Astyanax mexicanus: one gene and its partners. The protein of the gene in region 1 interacts with the protein of each later gene in a biochemical or structural test. Links are inferred from orthologs where the notes say so. Each region holds a gene or a part of one and is shown in the gene's direction. Other genes may lie near its edges. The genes, in order: gas6, tyro3 and tyrosine-protein kinase receptor UFO.

Region 1 (7,121 bases):
TCCAGCCTAGTGCTGGAGAAATTCTGAAACTTAAGCTTACAGTAAATAAACGAAAGCTTTACTTTACTCACCCAAATAAACAGTTATCAGGAGAGAAATCTGTGTAGATTAACATCCAGCACTCTTTTTTCTTTAAAAGCAAAGTCATTTTTATTACAGTTTTCTTTACTATTTTTAGCTTACTTAGTTAGCTACCCCAAATTGTTTTTGAGATCAGTGAATCTATTAATCACATATTCACTATTATACAAATTGACTGCGGGTACCCAAACGTTTACATACCACTTTGTTTTTTGCATCTTACAACTTGAAAGACACTGTTCAATTTGTTTAATCTCTCTCTTTTTTTCTTTCTTTAGATCTTCCCCTTTCCTCCACTCCAGTGTCAGCCTACTACCATGGCTGCATGGAGATCAATGTGAACGGGAAGCTGCTTGATTTTGATGAAGCCGTCAACAAACACAACAGCATCAAATCTCACTCCTGTCCACCCGTTTCCCCTCCTGAACCTCCGGCCAGTGAGACCCTCGCTGCGTTAAACAGGAAATGATGTCACAGGCTGGAGCATTGGGGATACATTACTAGTGCTGTCTATCCAGCTGTAAATACTTGTAAGGAGTAAGAGAGAGGGAGGACGAGCAGAAATGACCTGAGAAACAAAGTAGTTTGTTTATTCTGAGGTTGATCTGCAACGACACTAAAACCTTGAGTACCTTGAGATCTAGACGTTACTGTAAACCTTAACCTTAAAGGCCTGTATGTTACAACTAACACACTGGTGTTCAAGTATTTACCAAATAATTTATAACATATAATAAGTTTAAGATTAACGACTAAACGATAAGACTGCAGTTTTTAAGCTCTTAATGGCCAATACTGTTGGTCATGAAAGGGCATTGTCACTGTTTTCAAGAAATAGCATATAATGCAATACAGAGCTGAGCTCTGATTTATACTGATGAAATGCAAAGTATTCCTGTAAGATGTAGAAAAAAGACTGGTCCAACTTGAGATATTTACTGGGATCTGGTCTACAATGAACTGGCTGTTCCTTCTGAACACATTCATTTATTAGAACTTTTATTATTGGGTTGGTTTTGGTCTGTTTTTTTTTTTTTCAGTCATGGGATGAATGAGTGTAAACCAACTATTTTTATTCTGTGTTGAATTAATTGAGTATTTTAATAAAAACGACAAAAAAATCTCATTTTTGCATGTCACGTACATACAATACATACAATAAAATGTTCCCATTGTAATTTTCAAAATCCACATTGTACTAGTGCACTTATGGAATTATAGAAAATCTTCAATCATGCTTTAAGATCAGACCATAAATATATTTTCTTATTTTATACAATTGTTGGATTTATTAAATGTTTTGCTCTGATCACCAATAAAATGCATTTTTCTAGCCTGTACTGTGGCTATTTGCAAATCCAAACAAAAGACATGGACAATATTGCTTGTGTGTTATAAGTTCCAGGTGGTAGTGTTTGTCTATACTTGTGACTAATAATGATCAAAAAACATTTTGTTAGTAATCAGAGCAGAAATCCAGGTAATGTCAAAGGATCCACTTCATTTTTATCTTTGTATTGTAAAGTTTTTTAAGCTTTTATTGTGAACAAATGTAATCTAGCCTAGTTCTGGCCAAAAGGGGATTAGCAGTGGTGGTGGTGCTGGTGGTGGTGGTGAAGAAGGAATGTTTTAAGAGCTGAGGGGAAAAACATATTTTGGAAAAAAGCTGCAGGGAAAGGGGTTTAACTGCAGTATTTTGGAAAACAAAATCTTGGTGCAAAATGAGAAAAACGAGGAGAGATGGTCCACATGAGAACACTGTTCAACTTCTAGTTTAATCATATTTAATCAAGTGCGGCAGAAATAAACCTAGTAATGACATTTGAAAAATAAAATACAGCAAAACTAAAGCGCTTAATACACTTTCCAAATAAAGTCACTGCTGTGCTGAAAATATTTAAATATATAATTGTATAAACATATGAACATTAATCTAGAAATAAATTGAGAAAATGATGGCTACAAGCAGTCATTTATCTTTATAGTGAAACTATGAAGTACACTCAAAATGCATTACATAAGGAGTTGATGGATTTAGATGCAGGTTTGCAAGTGTGATTACAATATTTAAGCAAAAAAACATACATTTTTGGGGGGCTCTAGTCTGGAAACAAGATAAGATATGGTTTGACATGGGGGCACAGATGTTCTGTATGGCATCCTACAGCAGATTTTCCCAGAGATTCTAGTGGAAAGCCTTCTCTGGACAGTAAAGACAGTTACTTCAAAGCAAGATGAGTTCATTATAAGCAGGTCTCCCAACATTTTGTCCATATACTTTGTGTGTTGAGTTTAGCCTAAAAACTACACGTGCAAAGCATTGTGCCAAGTGTAAAGTTTCATGTAGGGGGGAAACGTTCTGAGGCTGTTAAATAGACCCTGAGTTCCACTGAGGGGGATTCCAAATGCTACAACATATTATAACACTGTAGGGAACTGTGTTTCCACTTTTTGGCAATATGTTTGAGAACCTGCATAGCTTTCACAGAGCTTCTTCTATTACATTCAACGCCTTTGAAGAAAAATGAAAATCCTTTTGTGATCCAAGCCTTGCTGCTCAACATTTATGCCCAAATTCACAACTGCTCCTGTGGCTCAATGAAACACAAATCACTGTAGCCATGTTCCAAAATACAGTAAACCTTCTCAAAAACTCCACTATATACAAAGGTACTGGGACATATGCATTATTCAATGCATGTTCTCAAATCAAGGGTGTTTATAACAAGTGTTAGAGCAACTGTCTCTACTGTCCAGTAAAGACTTATACTATATTTTAAAGCTTTCATCAAATCCAGAGTAACCGATGTACAGGAGTCCAAAAAGAGAGTTTAAAAATGAGTTACTGATGCTGACCTTGCTACCACAGCAACCTATGCAACATACATTTGTGATGTACAGACACAAAATCTGATCTGATCACTTGCAGTGATGGTAATTTCTACAGATCTGATTTGGGAAAGAAATTTGATTTACCTGCAGTCTGAACAGAGCCTTTGGGCATCGTGCAGTACGCTGCTTTGCTTTCCACACATGTCAAAGCTGGCTAGTTGTGGTTGCGTTGTGCCTGCTACTGACGCTGAACATCACCTGCTGATAATATCCAGGGTTTCCGAAAACAAGTAACATCTGTGATGTTGGCTACAGGATCTGTAAATATGTATCTCTCTTAACCTCAGAAAAAAGCTTTTTGTCGTCCTCCTATTATCTCTACACGAGTATAGGGAAGTGTTGTACAGTTTGAGGTTTTCACGAATCGTTAATATTAATTAACGATTAGTGAAATATTAATGCGGACAAAACTAATATTTTACACACACTTAACCAACACCAGCAGATGACATGGCTCTCGAAACCATCATTGAACATCTAAGCGGCTTGAGGTCTAGTGTAAACTTTTTATTATCAGTGATGGTTTGGAAAGACATGTCATCTGCTGGTGTTGGTCCACTGTGTTCAATCAAAGTCCAAGTCCAAAGTCAGTGCAGTGTTTTCCCGGAAAATCTTACAGCACTTCATGCTTCCTTCTGTTGACAACTTTTATTGAGATGCAGATTTCATTTTCCAGCAGGATTTGGCACACTGCCCACACTGCCAAACGTACCAATTGGTCTAATATAATATTCTATTTTCTGAGACACTGATTATTGAGTTTCCATTGGCTGTAAGCCACAATCATCAGCAATATAATTTTAAAAAATGCTTAAAATAGATCTCTTTGTGTGTAATACATCTATATAATATATGTGTTTCACATTTTATAATTATTCAGTAACACAGAGACATAGGCTAATCAACACACATGCGGTGGTGCATAATAACTTTGCAGCCTTTTAATGCAAAGCTTATCTAGCTACCAGTACTACAGCAGTACTTCTGCTGCAGTGACAGAGTGACTCTCTCTCTCTCTCTTTCCCTCTCTTTCCCTCCCTCCCTCCCTCCCTGCCTGCCTGCCTGCCTGCCTCTCTTTCTTGCGCATTCTGCATTGGGAACTCCCAGTGTCTGCTAGCTAGAGCTAACTTACTTTCCACCAGCAGGATAGACGAATCTGCTGCTGCTGCTGCTCACGTTCAGACCACGACTAGTGAGAGAGAGAGGGGGAGAGGTGGGAGTGAGGGGGGGTGTATGTATGTGTGGAGGAGCGGGAGTAAGCGTGCTAGTGTGAATGTGAGTGTGTGAGAGAGAGAGTGTGTGTGTGTGAGTGTGTGTGGAGGAGAGAAAGGGAGCTGGGCTGTGGTATGCGTCTGCCTCTGCAAGCCGTGTAGAGAGAGTTGAATGTAGCGGTATAGACTCTCCCCCGCTGTGAGAAGTGAAAGCTTTCTCAGCTGCACAGAAAAAAAGAAGAAGAAATAAAGAGAAAGAGTGAGGGAGAGAACCAGGACTGGAGGAACTTTCCTGAGTCTGCTGCCGAACCAAACATGCTTCTTACCCCGGGAGAGTTTCTCTCGGGCTGTTTCTTCATCCTCCTGTGCGTCGCCTGCTCCTCGCAGCGTAAGTAGTTAGTTAGTTAGCCTAAAGTTAGGTTAGCTAACTTAGCTAACTTAAACAAATACTAACATGGCTAGCTAGCTAGATAACTAGTTAGCTTGCTATTAACACTGACTTACTGCTTTTAGCTACTGTCGCTTTTTCTTGTGGGAAACAAGCAAGCCAAAACACTGCTAGGTTAGCTTGTAACGTTAAGTAAGTTGTTGTAGCTGTGGCTGTGTCCAAAACAACACACTATTGCTAAATAGTTAACTAACCTAGGTTAGCTAGTTAGTTAACCTTAATAACTACATTAACGAGCTTAATACAGTGTTAAAGATTGTGTACACATTATCAATAGAACATTTATTACATACAGCTCTGAAACAAATTGAGACCACTTCAGTTTCTGAATAAGTTTCTCTGATTTTGCTATTTATAGAGTAAAATAAACGTTTGAGTAAATGTTTGAGTAAAATAAACATTTTTGTTTTATTCTATAAACTACGGACATCATTCCTTCACAAATTCCAAATAACAATATTGACCTTCAGAATATATATTTGCATAAAATAAAAAAGATACAGAGCTTTCAAACCTCAAATAATGCAAAAAAAATCACAAAGTTTTAAGAGTACAGAAATCAATGTTTGGTGGAATAACCATGGTTTTTAATCACATTTTCATGCATCTTGGCATGTTCTCCTCCACCAGCCTTACACACTGCTTTTGGATAACGTTATGTCACTCCTGGTGCAAAAATCCAAGCAGTTCAGATTGGTTTGATGGCTTGTTTTCAATTTGGTAAAATCAAAGGAACTCATCGTTTTTAAGTGGTCTTATTTTTTTCCAGAGCTGTATAGTCAGTAACTAGCAGTTTATTTAACGTTAGCTGTGCTAGTCGTTTTTGGACACAGGCACAAGTGTGAACTAACCTAACTAGCTAACAAGTGCATCTTGCATCTTGACCCGAGCTGTTCACCGTTGTCCTTCACCTGGACGAATATTCCTCTCTTTATATGTGTGTGTGTTTCGCAGTGTCCTTGTCGCCTGAGGAAGCCAGCCAGTTTTTAAGAAGACCAAAACGAGCGAACCAGGTTTTTGAGGAAACCAAACAAGGACACTTGGAGAGAGAATGTGTGGAGGAGAGATGTACAAAAGAAGAGGCGCGAGAAGTGTTTGAGAACGACCCTGAAACGGTAAACGAAGTTTTAATACACAATTTATTAATTGTTCGTAAATGCGCGTGTGTCCTTAACGTCCTTATTGCGGCGTACTGCAGGTAGGTTAGCTAGTTAGCTAACGTCAACTGACTAACCCAGGTAGCTCAGGTAGGTTAGCGTGACCGCTCGTGCCAAGGTTCGTTGGTCCTCTTTGCTAACTAGCCTTGTAGGATAGCATTGCTCCTGCTGCTGTGCTGCTGCTGACAATATTCCGTCTCTCTAACAGTCGACGACCTTCACCCCGAAATTGGACGCTTATCAGAGAGACTCTGAACGATTGTGTGCCTCATTTTCATGCCCTAGTAATTCTGCAGTCGAGTCGCGATATAATTAGACCCTGTCCTCCCTCCAGACACACACACTCGCCTTTTTTATCACAGATTTGTATTGTTTTTGCAGCACACTAAGTGACATAAGTTCCCGAAAGTCTGAGGGATTTATCGGTGCTGTTGTTCATGCTTGGCTGCTTGAGGCTGAGGGCAGTGGCAGGTTGGCAGTTGTCCACTCTGGATGGTTTGATGAAGTTAAACCAGTGAGACCAGTAGTCTGGCAGCTATTGAAAGTAGTGTAGGGCTTGGACTGATCCACAGTTCTAATTCAATTTCAATATACATATATGCCAGTATCAATAGCTATGCCAGTATAGAAGATTTGTGGGGTCTTCCTCTCTATTCGCTAGCACGAACTCCCCCTTCTTGTGCTCTTTGATTAAACTAGACTAGGTGAATTACAATGCAGTACAATGCAACTTAAACTTTTGACGTGATTGATGGCTTTATAACCTACATGTTACAAGCAGCTGTCTTGCTTTTAGTATTTCTAGACTAAAATACCTCCAAACAAACAGCACAGTAAGTGACAAAAGTCCCCGAAAGTCTGAGGGATTTATTGGTGCTGTTGTTCCTGCGTGGCTGCTTAGAGAGCAGGGGCAGGATGGCAGTTGTCCATTCCAGATGGTTTGATGAAGTTGAACCAGTGAAACCAGTGGTCTGGTAGCTATTGAGAGTAGTGGTGGGCTTGGACTGATCCACATTTTTATCGATAGCTGTGCCAATGTACTAAATTTGTGGGGTCTTCCTGTCTATTTGCTAGCATGAACTCCATCCTTGTGATGATTTTTCATGTAAACCTCAGCATGTGATTCATTAAATTAGTAAGTAAATTGTACAGTGCAACTCTGCCCCTTGGCATGATTGATGGCTCAAAAAACCTTCATGTTACAAGTAGCTGTCTTACTTTTGTGTATTTTCAGACTAAAATATCTCCAAACAAACAACTTTAAACAGAGTTATTTTTTTCACTGAGAGACTGAGAGGCAGACATGCTGCATGTTCATAGTAAGATGTTGAC
Region 2 (7,108 bases), on another chromosome or scaffold:
TCTGACAGCAGGACTTTACACGCAGCGTCTCCGTTTACACTTAACCTACAGGCAACTTGATACACAGGAGAGAAACAACAAACCCCCTTTGGACGGGGAGCCGGTGACACACAAGCAGAGCACAAAATAAAACACGTATAAAGTTTTAGCAACCAGTTTTACTAAGTTAGCTAAGTTAGCTCACCTAGCTTACTAACTTAGCTTCACTGCTAGCTCAGTTGGCTAGCTAGTTAGCTAACTAACGTTACAACAATACCACACATAACCTGTGATTTCGTTCACTAGTTTACCTAGTTAACTACGTTCACTGTCAAAACTTATTTGTGAGCAAGTTATTATTCCGTTTATGAGCTGAATATCAAAGTGAAAGTTAGCATTCAGTGACTCGCAATCAACATGGCTTTGTAACTTACCATGGAAACCACGGCGAGCATGGCTGACTTTCTGTGTACGTTACCTACACTACTGTGTAAAAGTCACGGAGAGACTTCCTACAGTACAGCCCGGGACAGGCTCCGGATCACAGCCCAGAGGAGAGCAGTGGGGGAAGTGAACAGAGCAGAAAACCTGATGATACGCGATCTGTCCACTAGAGGAGGACAGACGATGGGTTTTGGAAAACGCTCATCTCAAACTAGGTCTGGGCGAATCTCAAACGACCTATCGCTCCCTATATAATCACCAGCTACCTAGTGCACTACACAAGGTTTAAGGGTCCTATGGGTAAATTTCAGTATAACCTGCATTTTGTCTCTAAAGCATAGTTTTTGAAATTGATTACACCAATCTGTAACAATACAACTTTCTCTGAATAAACACATTTTAGAAACATAGAGGAATGTTAACCTTCACTCTAGATCGTGTACATTATATATATATTTTTTATGTAAGCATGTGCTTTTGGCAACGATTCTTTTTAATAATCCTTTAAAGTGTTTAACTAACCCAACAAACCCTTTTTTATTTTTAACATGCTTTTAAATGATTTATACATTTCAGTTATTTGTATTTGTTATTTGTAGCTGCTGCATGTTTAACAGATATGTGACTTTACAACCTTCACACTGTTTTATTTATAAGGAACTGAAGACACATGCTGACTGCTCAGGAATTAATAATATTAATTAAATCTAATATTTTTCATATTGTTACCTTCCTAAAATAACCACCTACATAAAATTTCCTACACCCTCAGCTGAACAGATCATTTGATTCTACACCTTTAGGATAATGTCACAAGTGTGGCTAATTTATTAAAACTAGGTCTAAATAAAATGTGACTTAAGCAATTTTAATAGCTTTCCAAGATTTAGCTAACTTCATTAACTAATTTACACAATGCAGGGCTCATCCCCAATTGATAAGGGATGAGATTTGTACTCTAACATAAAGTTTTATTGAGTTTAATTAGTCTGCAATTTTAGTAATTAATAATTACCCTCTATATGCTGTAAACAGCCATTATGAATTTATGTATGTATTTGTAAAATAAATAATAACTGTGTCTGAAACTTAGGAAATGTTGTTTACTCCGAGACTGGAAGTCAAAGTACATATTTTTCTATTTTTATTATTTAAGATGGAAATTTAAAAACATTACAACTAAACTTAGCACTAAACTACAGCAACTAACATTAGTGCAATACATGATGTGGACGTAACATTATGCCGATAGACATACTCTACAGTGTTTATGTTGTGGATTCAGGACAAGCTTTCATCCACAGCTTTTACACCTAACCCCTCTTTTGTCACCACAGTTTTTAAATGTCTGGCACTTACACACTGACACATCATGAAACAAGTGGGAATTAATCAAATACTAGTTGGATGTCCTCCCTCCCCCAAGTAACACAGACTTGGTTACAGCCATTATATTTTTGTGCATCTCATATTTGATCAGATATATGTGGGGGTGTTCTAAAACATCTGACCTGTAGTGCATTTCTATTACTATTACAATTCTATTACTATATTTTAGTGCCATTTAATCTCATTTAAAATCTTGCTAATTACTTACTAATATTAATGACTAAACTTAAAAACATGAAATGCCATCTATCGATATGACATCAACAATGTCATATTAATACCATGCTCTTCATCTCTGAAAAGAGAGATTACTGGGCTCCAACAGCATAAAGATGAGTGTACAAGTTTTTATCTCATATAATCTTGTCCTCTCCTTGTCCTAAGAACAATCAGTCTCTAGCAGTTGAATAATCTTCATGCCTTTTAAAGTCTCTGAAAAAGTTGAAAAGAAATGAGTGATTAGAAAATGTCTCTACACAACCTTACGCTATGTGAAACGGTCATGTAGGCCATTCTGAGGAGAGTTTAGTTTGTTTTCCTGTAGCTCATACTCTTGTGGTCAAAGCTCACATTATTGTTATTTTTAGTTTTGCCCAGCACAAGAAAAGTGTACTGATAAGAGCAGAACATCTCAGTCCTATAAAAATCATAAACAGCTTCCAGCAAAAACATCTTCAAGGCCTGAACAGATGAGGCCTGAGAGATGATAAAATGCCTTTATTTGTCTGCTCATCAAATCATAGAAATAAAGAAGGTCAAGATGACAACGAGAACATATTGTAAGACAATTATTTAGTATGTTTCTAAGGACATTTATGTTTAAATATATTCTTACTTTTATGTGTTTCTATCTATCTATCTATCTATCTATCTATCTATCTATCTATCTATCTATCTATCTATCTATCTATCTATCTATCTATCTATCTATCTATCTATCTATCTATCTATCTATCTATCTATCTATCTATCTCTGTTGTGTACACTTATTTAGTGTGGCTGCTTCTCTTCCTGAGAGGAGATCCTGTTCCAAATTAGAAGGTACTTTATGGTAAGTTCCAGCCCCTAGGTCTACGATCACTACCTACTTATTTCCTCCCTTATCAAATAATGGGAACAAGCCTTATTTACTGAATATCTGCTTTGCAAATTCTAAACATTTGATGAGAGCATTACTGTTATTTATTTTTGCCATTTGATAGTGATGGATTTTCTCTTAAAGGAAACCACATTTAATGATAACGTTATTTAGTGTGGGGTTTTAGGGTACAGTGTACAAAAAATGTAAATGCAAACTGATATGTACAGATTTGTTTGTCAATGGCCTAGAGGTCCTATAGCTAGGAAAATAGCTATAAATATATTTAACATGGTACGTATGGGTTAACTGTTTTTCCACCACTTTTTTTCAAACATGTTACTAGACACACAATTTGTGCTAGCCTCTTGTGGCCTGGTTCTAAGCAAACATTTGGCCTTGGATTGTTGGTACACTTGGCAACTACCAGGCCCTACTCTTCAGTTGAGATTTTAGGAACTGCCATGTAGAGAAAATCAGTTAAATTATTTATTTGTGCATATTTATGCAGTGATTTCTATATACTTATAAAGCTCTGGAAAAAAATAAGAGACCACTTTAGTTTCTGAATCAGTTTCTCTGATTTTGATGATTTATAGGTATATGTTTGGTTAAAATGAACATTGTTGTTTTATTCTATAAACTACGGACCACATTTCTCCTAAATTCCAAATAAGAATATTGTCATTTTGAGCATTTATTTGAAGAAAATGAGAAACGGGCAAAATAACAAAAAAGATGCAGAGCTTTTAGACCTCAAATAATGCAAAGAAAACAAGTTCTTAATCAAATTAAGAGTTCAGAAATCAATATTTGGTGAAATAACCCTGGTTTTTAATCACAGTTTTCATGCATCTAGGCATGTTCTCCTCCACCAGTCTTACACACTGCTTTTGGATAACTTTATACCACTCCTGGTGCAAAAATTCAAGCAGTACAGCTTGGTTTGATGGCTTGTGATCATCCATCTTCCTCTTGATTATATTTCAGGGTTTTTTAATTTGGTAAATTCAAAGAAAATCATTTTAAGTGGTCTCTTATTGTTTTAGAGCTGTATATCGTTTGCCCTCTGTAAGAGCTGGGTTTGAGGTGGTGGCTGGATCCACTGAGTTTTGGTGTTTTTTCAGCAGATGGTCTCTAGAGGGCATTGTGTGGGATTTCACACATTCCCCCACAGCGCTGAAACATTTGGAAGTGTGAGGAGCTCCGTCCAGTTTCCTTTACTGAACCAAGACCGTGAAGCCGGGATGTTTGGATACTGCTCGGCTGTGTGTGGAGTATGGAGAGTGTTCAGGCGGGGATGAGGTCTGAGCGGGGTTCTGCTGCTGCTGCTGCTGGCTGCGTTGGAGACTCTGGGGACGGGACTGTGGAGCTGCTGCTGCCGCTGTTCGGCACTTGCTGCTGCGAATACCGAGTAAATTAGCGATTCAGCAACCGCGCCTGTTTAAAGTTGCTGGTCTTGTTGATTCAGCTGAGGTGAAGCGACCGAGTCGCGTTTCAGAGGATGCTAAAATGGGAATTAAGTTTTGGATAATATTTATCCTCGTTCATTATAGTGAAGGAGTTCACGGTAAGTTTGTTCAAAATTGTGTGGATAAATAATGATAAACAGAGTGTAAACAATGTTAATGAATAGCCCACTTAACTTAACTAGTTAGTTAACGTTAGCTAAGCTAAGCTAAGCTAGCTAGGTTAACTAACTTAGATAAGCTAGTTACCAAATTAGTTCGTTTTTGTTTTTTTTGTTAAATTGAATTTATACATTCAAGTACATTTATAACAAGTAACTTAAACAAAAAATAAAGACACCTCAAGTTAGGTTAGCTAGGTTGGCTAACTAACGTTAGATAACTTTAACGTTAAGTTACTTGTTGGAAACCGCAGCAGCAGCAGCAACAACAACAACAGCCTGGTTTACCCTCTGGACTGTATTCAAGCAGAATTATAGCTTTATAAAAGAAACCAGCAATCTAAAATAATCCTGCAGTCCATGCTGAATGGGCTTTAAAAAAATAATTATTAGGTTACCTTTTCTTTTATAAAAAATAGATCTTTTTTTGCATATACATAAAAAAATCTTCATTTTTTATTCGGCATCACAGTGTTTGTTTAACATTGAATCTGTCATCTAGCTAATAGTGTCCCCACATTAGTTCCTCCATAGGCAGTGAATGTAGGCATTGATTAGGCTGTTCTGGCTGAAGCTGCAGCACTGTAGAAGCCAGCTGTAGTCTGCCTCCACACTGGAGAGCTTTCATCCTTCTGCAGCTTGCATTACGTCTGCTAGCCTCAGTCAGAGCATGGGCACTGGAACAGGTCTGTGCAGTGGTTTTGGCACAATGGAGACCACAGATTTGGGTACAAAAGCTTCTAAAGCTGTGAAAATGCAAACTTGTAACATGTTTGGTGGTATTCGAAACAGAAAGGTCTGCAAAACTAAGGTATTTTATCTTATTGTGATAAATTATGTGAACAATACACTTAATGTTGATTTTCTTTTGGATTTCTTCAACACTGACCAACTGTATTTTTTTTTTTATTTAAAAAAAAAGAGTGCATACATCATCATAATTTAGATAGCCTTGTGGAAATGTAGCACTGGGAAATATTTTGTTGGTTTGTGTTGTTAACAAACATGTTCCACCATTATGTGAATTGGTTTTCAGTTCTAACAACATCTGTTTATTAATATATGCAGTGGTGCTTGCAAGTTTGTAAACCTTTTAGAATGTTCTATATTTCTATGTAGATTCGACTAAATCAGATTTATTATTAAGATAAGTTGATACATTTGCCAATGCTGATACAAAAACATTTATAGAACTTAAAAAAAAAATCAGCCCCTGATAACTTTAAGGCTTTGATATCACAAACTAGAAATACTCTGTAATAGACTGTTCTCTCTAGAGCCAGTGTTTCCTTGATTGTACCACATGTCAAGATGTTCCCATCTGTACTGTGTGTTATCTCTCAGGGCTGAAGTTCACCAAGAACCCAGCCAACCTCACAGTAACCCAAGGTAACATGGCCCGTCTGGGCTGTGCCATTGAGGGCCTGAGCGAGCCGGAGATTGTGTGGATGAAAGATGGAGAAAAGCTGTACAGCACGGATCAGATGTACATCACTCTAGAAGCCCATCACTGGGAGACCTTTCACAGGTAAGAACATTTCTGCTTATTGTTTACAAAATCTGGAGGGCAAAGATTAAATAATGTAAATAGTCTTTAGCTCTTTATTTAAATAGTCACAGATCATCTCTTATGACTTCATACATCATCTGATAAGGTGTGTCCTTATGGCTGTTAAATCTTTTACTGTTTATTACTGTATCTCACATGACTAACCCCTTGGCCTGTGTGTGTACATCCTTTTGATTTGCTTGAGTAACCCAAGTCAGCTTAGAATTTGGTTTTGGGATTTTTTGTAAAAGGAACAGCATGGAACATTTTAAGTGGTCGTCCAATAACTAAATTTAGGCTGCAGTAATTCTTCTTCATTCATTTTAGGAACTTATTGTCCTTGCAATAAAAACATGTGTCTATAAAATGGTGAATTTACAGGAAATGGCCCAAATCTTTATTTTAAGACATTTTAGAACCTTTTTATTGTGTTAATGGTGTATTAATCAAGAATTATTCACACATCACCTACAGGGTTCAAACAGTAGGAGAAAAATAAAAACTGACAAGGAATTGGGATGAATTTTTCACCAGAGAGCAGCGATAATGTAGTGGTTCTTAAAACTAAACACTGCATTTTTTAGGGCTTCATTTCAAATTCACACCAGTCTGAAGAAACAGGTTTTCAAACATTGTAAATGCCTAAGAAACAGATACGTAGTGTAGTGTAGTGTTTTCTCTGTGTTTCATGGTTAAGTGTGAGTCAGAATTTGGATGAAATGGTGTTGCAGTTAGTTAATCAGCTTTAAAGACTCCTTCAAAAACCTTCCCTCTGCTTTAGGCTTTAATGTAACAACACAACACAATACTTGAAGTAATGCGCAAACCACTGATAGTTCTGATGGTACTTTATTTGAATTTTTAACAGTTTAAAAATTTCAGCACATGTTTAATTCTTGTTAATTGTGGCTCATTCTTCCTTACAAAAGGTTCCAGTTCTGTGAGATTCTTGTGCGTGACCTGATCTTTTGAGGTGTGTCCTTAGATTTGTGATGAAATCTAGGGTAGGAGGGCTATGGCGAAACCACCAGATTGAGGT
Region 3 (7,324 bases), on another chromosome or scaffold:
AAGCGCATCATAGAGGCATGTGTAGCAGTCAACAATCTCTCACCAAGAGGTACAATGCCCAGAAGTAACCTCTGAGAGGCTATTTATAAGGCAGCGGAGAAAGCACTTCTAGTTGAGACCCAACCTCTAACAATTTACATATCTGTCTGAGACATTCAGTTAGTGCATGCTAAGTTTTGCAGCAATTCAGGGAGGTAAATTAATTTTTCAGTAAGTGTAGTAAAATAACAACTCAACAATAAACAATTGGTTGTAGATCTCTGTTTGTGTTGCCATTTGAAACAATTACAATGCAATCAACGCAATAATAAAGGTTGGGATATTAGTAAGTAATTATTAAGTTGTAAACTGCATTTAGCTGTAATATTTGTTTTTTATTCCTAGTTACATTTTCAGCATATCTTGAAGGACACATCAGAGCTGTTGCTGAGGTGTGATCTCTTAACTGTTGCCTGTTTAGCCAGTTTTTTGCATTAATGCATAAATGGAATGAACTTAATCCACCCTTGGAGCTCTCTCTCTCTCTCTCTCTCTCTCTCTCTTTTGCTCACTCCTAATTAACCCTGCCCTTTACTGCTGTGCTCTGTCTTCCAAGAAAAAAGACCTCCATTCTTCTAATTTTTGTGTTTTTGTCACTCTGTCTCACTCTCTTTCTCTCAGGTCCCTGCTTGCTCTCTCTTTTTCTCGACTTTTTGTCTCTCTCTCGCTCTCTCTCTCTCTCTCTCTCTCTCTCTTTCTCTCTGCATGTATCTATGTGATGTGTGAGCCTGATTCCTCCAGTCGGGTCCTATTGAAAAGCGAAGGACACACAATGGGGTCTTTCTCAGGCGAAGCTCCATCTCCATTAAAGACCCTGGGAACACTGCTCAGTCCCCCGCAAACCTTCACTTAAAGGGCCGACACACACCCACACACACAAACTCGCGCACACACACACACACACTCACACACACACCACACCCTCAGTAGTGCAACCTGACCCCACAACAACACCACTTTCCTGCATCTTCATGGAACAGAGGGAATCCTCTACTCCAAAAAACCCACAAACTAAATAATTCATGAAGTATCAATTCTTCCTTTCCCCCTCCTCTTCCTCCTCCCTCCTACTACACTATATCACCTCCTTCCCTCAGGTTCCCTCATCCGAATTTAAACCTCCACCTGCTCCAGACGTAGACACCGCAAAGCGTGCACCCAAACAAACGAACACAAATGCAGCAGTGTTGTTCTAATGAGCTACTTACTGTCTGTGTTACCTTCTGTCCTTATCTTTGTTTATGTCTCTGTCTGAGGGGGGAATTGTTGACTCTAATTGGGTGGAATCCCACAAAAGAATTTAAACACTTCTTACGCATACTTACGAAACTTTAAACTGTTGTGAGAAAATTCCATTTTTTTTTAAAGATTTAGTCTAGTTCTGTTTATTGCAATGCATTTCCAGTCAGTGTTTTTGCAGTGCTGACTCCACCATGGATGGAAAAGTGCTTTGGCCACAGATTTTCCTCTGACAAAACAGTGACTCAGAATCGTTTGTTTTTTAAACAAATCTTCATGATCTTATGTCTAGAAGACCACAGTAAAACTCAATAAGGTCATGGGATAGCAGTGAAGGGGAAGCGTTAAGAATGCCCACACCTGTATAAGTTGTGAGGTATTATCTTGTGAGTGAGGTTGAACAGGTTGGCCAGTGTGCTCATGGCAAGGTTACATGAATTCTTGGAGTTTGAGTGAGACCTGCTTGTGCGAGCAAGATGGTTAAGACCTTTCTTTTTTGATTTATTTTTTCTTTAAAGGCATTACCACCCACAGGGGACAGCACAGTAGGTAGAAATGATTAGAACTGGTGGTGTCTGGCTAGAGCTGTCCGTACGGACCAACAAGCGACTTACATTCACTGATTCTATTTAATGCAGAAGTCCTCACATGCATATCCCATGGGTCAGTGCAGTGAAAAGTAATGGGGCACAATAGAAGTTCCTGTCTCTTTTTGGCATGTTGCTGTACCTTTAAAGAGTACAACAAAAAAAGGACTGAAAACATTTTTGCTGGGGAATCTTTATTTTGTAAAATAATATTTTTTATTTTATGCCAGTATGGGGTAATCTTTCCCTTTTCTGGGGGGTTTACCCCTAGACCCCCCTCTAGATAAAGCTTAGCCCCCCTAATCATAAACCTCTAAGTTATGCCCCTGGCAAAATCCTAGTCTCTGTTCAAGTTCTATCTACAGATATTTTGAAGATGTTTAGGTTGGGGACTGTGAGGGGGACTGCCTAGGAACAGTTTAGTAACACCCTAGCAACCAGCTTGCAACATCTAAGCAACCACCTAGCTATACCAGAGCAAATGCTTGGCAACATCATACCAAACAGCTGGTAACCACTTAGCAACACTATAGTAAGTACATGGGATACCATAGCAACCTCTTAGCAACACCATAGCAACATCCCTGAGCAACTAGTGGGAACAACTTTGGCTGTGCAGACCCTTTATAAGAATTGGAAAGTTCTTTATAGCTATGTGTCCTTCAAGTTAACTTATGAAGTCTGTAAGTAACTTGTACTAAACATCCTGACAGCATCACCACAGGACATTGTGTGTGAATCTGTGTTAATTTATCTGACCTTATTAACAGAATATGGGAGTGATGGGTTAGTGCTGGAGATAAAACTAAAACACAGCACTATAAATAATAATTAATATTTTATTATTTAAAAGGCTGTCTGTAAGGAACGGGGATTTGTGGGATGCATGAAAGATTTGGCAAATCCTCTCTGTCAAGACAAACAGCTTATTCTTCCATTGACTCGTTTGGTGTTTGATGATCTTCTTGGGGTGTCGTCTTCTTGGGACGCCCACATTGTGCACTGTCTCTGACATCCCCAGTTATATGGAACTTGCCCTTCAATTTGGAGATGGTACTGGGGCTCACTCCAAAAAATGTCGCAACCTGGTTTTGCAGAACACCAGTTTAAAGTTGCCCTATCACGCAGGCTCTATTCAGAACAGTTAAATGTCGCATGATTACAATTCTTGGAGCATACGCATACACCTACCACCTGACCACTATAATCTGCCCTTTAAGTGGCAACCAGGATCTTGGGAGTACGCGAAGTTCAAAACAAGTGTCAACAGCAACAGAAAAATTAGTTTTTGGCAATTGCAGAGAAGATTTGGCAAACATATTAAGGGCTGTTCATCCCACAAATGCCAAATGCATGTTCCATACAAATGTGGCACAATTTAAAATGGAATTATTTTTAAAAGTATAAGATTTCTTGCCAAGAAGCATTGTTACAACAAGGAAATATTCTACTAAAAACTAATTTCCTTACTTTTTGTGGTATGTTTAAACTCCTTTTAACCCCTAAAATGACTTCAGGCTACAGGTGTAGGTGATACATATCCCTTTTTTCTGCAGTAAAATAACGTATTATTATAACTTATTTCCTACAGGACACTTGGAGAAGCTGCCTGTTTACTCTCTATTTCACTTAATAATTCTAGATCAGTAAAAGGAATCAACCCAAATTCTGCATCTTTGAAAACAGACGTAAAAACTAGACAAACATAACAAAACTAAAGGTTTGGAGGACATGAACTGTTTGATTTGTATTCAGGAAAATATTGATTTTTAAATTAAGTTTTTTTTTTTTTCTATTTTCTATTACAATTACAGTTATGATTTTCAGTGATGCTCCTTATCAAACATTGAAAGCTTTTTATGTAATGCTTGAATAAAAATCCTCAAGATTTAGTGGTGTAATGTCAGGCCTGGGCTGTTAGGGGGTTAAATTGATATTTATCTTCTACAGGTCTCAACCACTTAATACATTTAAATTATCACAATAATTGAGTGTTTTACATCTTTTATAACTAGTTTTTGCTTCATTTGTGAACAAAAACTTTAATGAGCTTCTTACTGAATTTATCTGATTCAATTTCTAATTTGGCATTAATTTTCATGGGTTTAGAAATGAGTCTAGGCTCTTATGTGTTAAAACAAGTAAAACTTTGTTTTACTTATGAAGTAAAAGATAGATATAAATAAATAACACATCAAACACAGCTTTGTTGACTTGTTGGGGTGATAAATTGGCAATTGAAGCGTAATGTCTACCCCAGTGACCCATCCTCCCCCCGCCTTTTCTCGTCTTCTGTGAGAAAAAGAGGGAGACTGAGAGAGACCCAGAGGGAGGGATGAAGAGAGGGAGGAGGAGGAGGAGGAGGGATCGAGGAGAATGGAAAGAAGTTGTGTGGAGGAATTTGTTTGAGTCCTGAAGTTTGAAGGGGGGAGTAAGAAAGAGTAGAGGGGCTCTGGTGAGGGAAGGTTGGGGTGTCTTGGGAAACGGCTTGAGGAAACAGGACTTCAAAAATAGCTAACTAGCTCCTAAAATAGCTACTTTTAACAACTTTTGAGGGGAAACTGGAAGACCGGGAGAACTATAGTAAGCTAGTGTGGTTCCTGTGAGGGGTTTATAGGTTAGGAGAAGTTTAAAATAGTCTAGTTCACAGGGAACTTTAGTTTTTCTACCACTTGAGTTTTTGTTTATTTGACAGAAACTGAGTAACTAGCTAATTTACCTCAGCTGAAAGAGAACGACACCAGACTTCTCCGCTCCACAGCATCAGGTTTCAAACTGTTTTTGAGGCATTTTTTCTACTCGAAACCTGAAAAGGAGAACTCTGTGGCTGAAAGGAAAGTCTGCTGCTTAAACAGCAACAGCTTGAGCTATCCTGTCTGAGGTTTAACAGTCTTTTTCAAGGTTTAAAACGTGATTTGAAGTATTGTTGTGTTGAAGCGATGCGGTGACGGTGAGTCATCGAGTAAACACCGCGAGCGCGCGATTCCAATACAACCAAACTAACGAACCGTCTCCAAGAAGTTCTCACACTGAGAGCAAAGAAGATGAAGACCTTCGGATTTCTCCTGCTTTTTCTCACCCTGGAGCTAACCACCGCTGAGAGTTTATCAGGTAAGTCATGGCTGGCTTGTTCTGTTGTGTTTTCAGCAGGTTTAAGTGAAGTTAATCAAGTTTTGAGGAGCAGGAGGCTTGAGTAACACTGTAGAGCAAGTGTAGAGCAGACTCTTAAGAGTTTTGGGGTTGCCCATTGGAGAAGGATAGCATCCACCAACTTCTACAGACCCTAAAAGCCTAAATTTTATCCAAACTCCAGCTTTTGGATTTTTTTGTACAGTTCATTAACATACAGCTTCAGACCACTTCAGTTTCTGAATCAGTTTCTCTAATTTTGCTATGGACAAGATTTCTCCCAAATTCCACATTAAAAATATTGTCATTTAGAGCATTTATTTCAGAGTTCAGATATTGTTTCAAGAGTTCAGAAATCAATATTTGGTGGAATAACCCTGTTTTTCAATCACAGTTTTCAGTTTTTTCCTCAACCAGTCTTACACACTGCTTTTGGATAACTATATGCCACTCAAAATTTAAACAGTTCAGCTTGGTTTGATGGCTTGTGATTATCCATCTTCCTCTTGATTATATTCCAGAGGTTTTCAATTTGGTAAAATCAAAGAAAGTAATAATTTGTGGTGGAATATAGTCAAATCCTCATTATCAGCTAGATATTTTCTTAGAAGAGTAGGTTAGATGTTGTAAGACGCTTCATATAAATATTTCTGTGTTTGGGAAAACTTTGGGAACATTTCTCCACTGTTCCTTATGGCTGTTTGAGTTAGTCTCACTTTTCTCCAATGAGGCTTTTTACACTAGACATTGGAACACTGTTGAGAAAATTCATTAACTAACTTTTGAGTGTGGTTGGATACAGTCAAATCCACACTACACTGTGTTTTCATTAAAGGGTACAGGTTGTGAGAAAGCTTCATATTAAAACTCTTGAGTTTGGAACAGCTAAACACTCATTAAATAATGTTTTTAAAGCTGTGTATAAATCTGCTGTTTATTGTTTCTTTTGACAGTTTGAGTTTGTTCCACTTTTCTCCAAGAAGGCTCTACACTAAATTGTTGTGAGAATTGATTCATTGACTGCATTCAGTCCCAGGAAAAATTGTAATTTTATGTACTAGAGATTAATGATCAGTTCCTAATCACAAACATTATTCTAACTCTTTTGGGTGGAGATTTGTAATTCCAGACAACACAGTTCCAGTGATTTGTTAAAATGTGTAATAAGTGTAAAAAGTAACTCCAGCCTAAATTGTCTTTGTATTTGAATATTGTCAAATTCTCACTACAAGGTGTTCCAACATCTAATGTAAAGCCTTTCTAAAAAAAGAAGAGGGTGTGAGCAATGTTTTGACTTTGGAAGAGCTGCCCATTAATGAATAAACCATTAATACACTATTGTTACTCAATCAGGCCTAATTGTTTTGCTGATATTTTCTCTTTATAATTTCATCTATTTTTTTTAAGTTTGGTTCAAGAAAGACTTTTACGTTTTATATGTTATAGCATGGCTGTGAGAGCTGGTTCACTGCATTTACCCTCAAGAACATTAGTAATGTCAGGTTCTGAAGATTAATGATTAGTTCTGGGTCACAAACATAAGGTTTGGGTGGAGATCTGTCACTCCAGAGAACAGATCAGCCAACACTTCTTAATAAAGCTTTCTTAATAAATGTATAGTTGTCTCATGTATAGTAGCTCATGACTTTGGAAGAGTTTTTCATTAGTACAACATTATTTACATTAATACATTAATACATCATTTGCCAGACAGACAGAAAAAAACATTAAAGACAAAATGTATACATCTACATTTTAGTATCTTTCCATCATTTCTTTTGGATGTTTGGGTTTGTCCCACTTTCCTCATTAAATTAGATGTTTAAATATTGTTGTACGTTTTGAGGGACTGTATTTGGCCCCAATAAAACATCAGGCAATGGATCACAAACACTCTTACTTGTACCAAAGGTGTTGGGTGGAGATTTGTCACTTCTGTGCACTTTGAGAAAGTGATTGGTGATTGAGAAATATATATATATATATTCGTAGACAGATTAAATGAAAAAGTGGTTTCTAATTGGAAATTGGCTTATTAGGAAATTGGCTTAGTACTAGTAAATTGAATTTAATATGTCCCATACGACTTAACATACCTGTGCTATTTTACCTGATGGCACACCTACCCTACATATTGAAGTGAAGAATTTCTCTATGTGTTGTCAACCGGAGCAGAATGTGACTATTTTAAGTCTTAGTTCATTTCAGTGGTACTTCCTCTTGTTCTTTGTTTTCTTTTTCAGTTTCTTCCTCATTGATTTGGAAAAGTGTCAAATCTTTAGAATCTTCTGAAGCTTTTTCTTTGGGTTCTTGTTTTTATTAGTGATATT

What was found.
Region 2: the proteins of gas6 (region 1) and tyro3 form a complex in vitro, tested with the Homo sapiens proteins (2 studies listed by BioGRID). The link is inferred for Astyanax mexicanus from reciprocal best matches to the Homo sapiens genes GAS6 and TYRO3.
Region 3: the proteins of gas6 (region 1) and tyrosine-protein kinase receptor UFO form a complex in vitro, tested with the Homo sapiens proteins (2 studies listed by BioGRID and IntAct, with this or other methods). The link is inferred for Astyanax mexicanus from reciprocal best matches to the Homo sapiens genes GAS6 and AXL.

Annotation. Positions count from the first base shown.
Region 1 is NC_064428.1:18,957,370-18,964,490, forward strand, and holds the start of gas6 (growth arrest-specific protein 6), read left to right. Parts: upstream 1-4,083; 5' UTR 4,084-4,499; coding exon 4,500-4,572; intron 4,573-5,586; coding exon 5,587-5,747; intron 5,748-7,121. Other genes in the region: pros1 (vitamin K-dependent protein S), read left to right, coding at 360-550. UniProt on the Homo sapiens protein: Ligand for tyrosine-protein kinase receptors AXL, TYRO3 and MER whose signaling is implicated in cell growth and survival, cell adhesion and cell migration.
Region 2 is NC_064421.1:18,847,878-18,854,985, reverse strand, and holds the start of tyro3 (tyrosine-protein kinase receptor TYRO3), read left to right. Parts: upstream 1-4,050; 5' UTR 4,051-4,402; coding exon 4,403-4,460; intron 4,461-5,864; coding exon 5,865-6,048; intron 6,049-7,108. UniProt on the Homo sapiens protein: Receptor tyrosine kinase that transduces signals from the extracellular matrix into the cytoplasm by binding to several ligands including TULP1 or GAS6. Regulates many physiological processes including cell survival, migration and differentiation.
Region 3 is NC_064411.1:43,828,766-43,836,089, forward strand, and holds the start of tyrosine-protein kinase receptor UFO, read left to right. Parts: upstream 1-4,258; 5' UTR 4,259-4,909; coding exon 4,910-4,976; intron 4,977-7,324. UniProt on the Homo sapiens protein: Receptor tyrosine kinase that transduces signals from the extracellular matrix into the cytoplasm by binding growth factor GAS6 and which is thus regulating many physiological processes including cell survival, cell proliferation, migration and differentiation.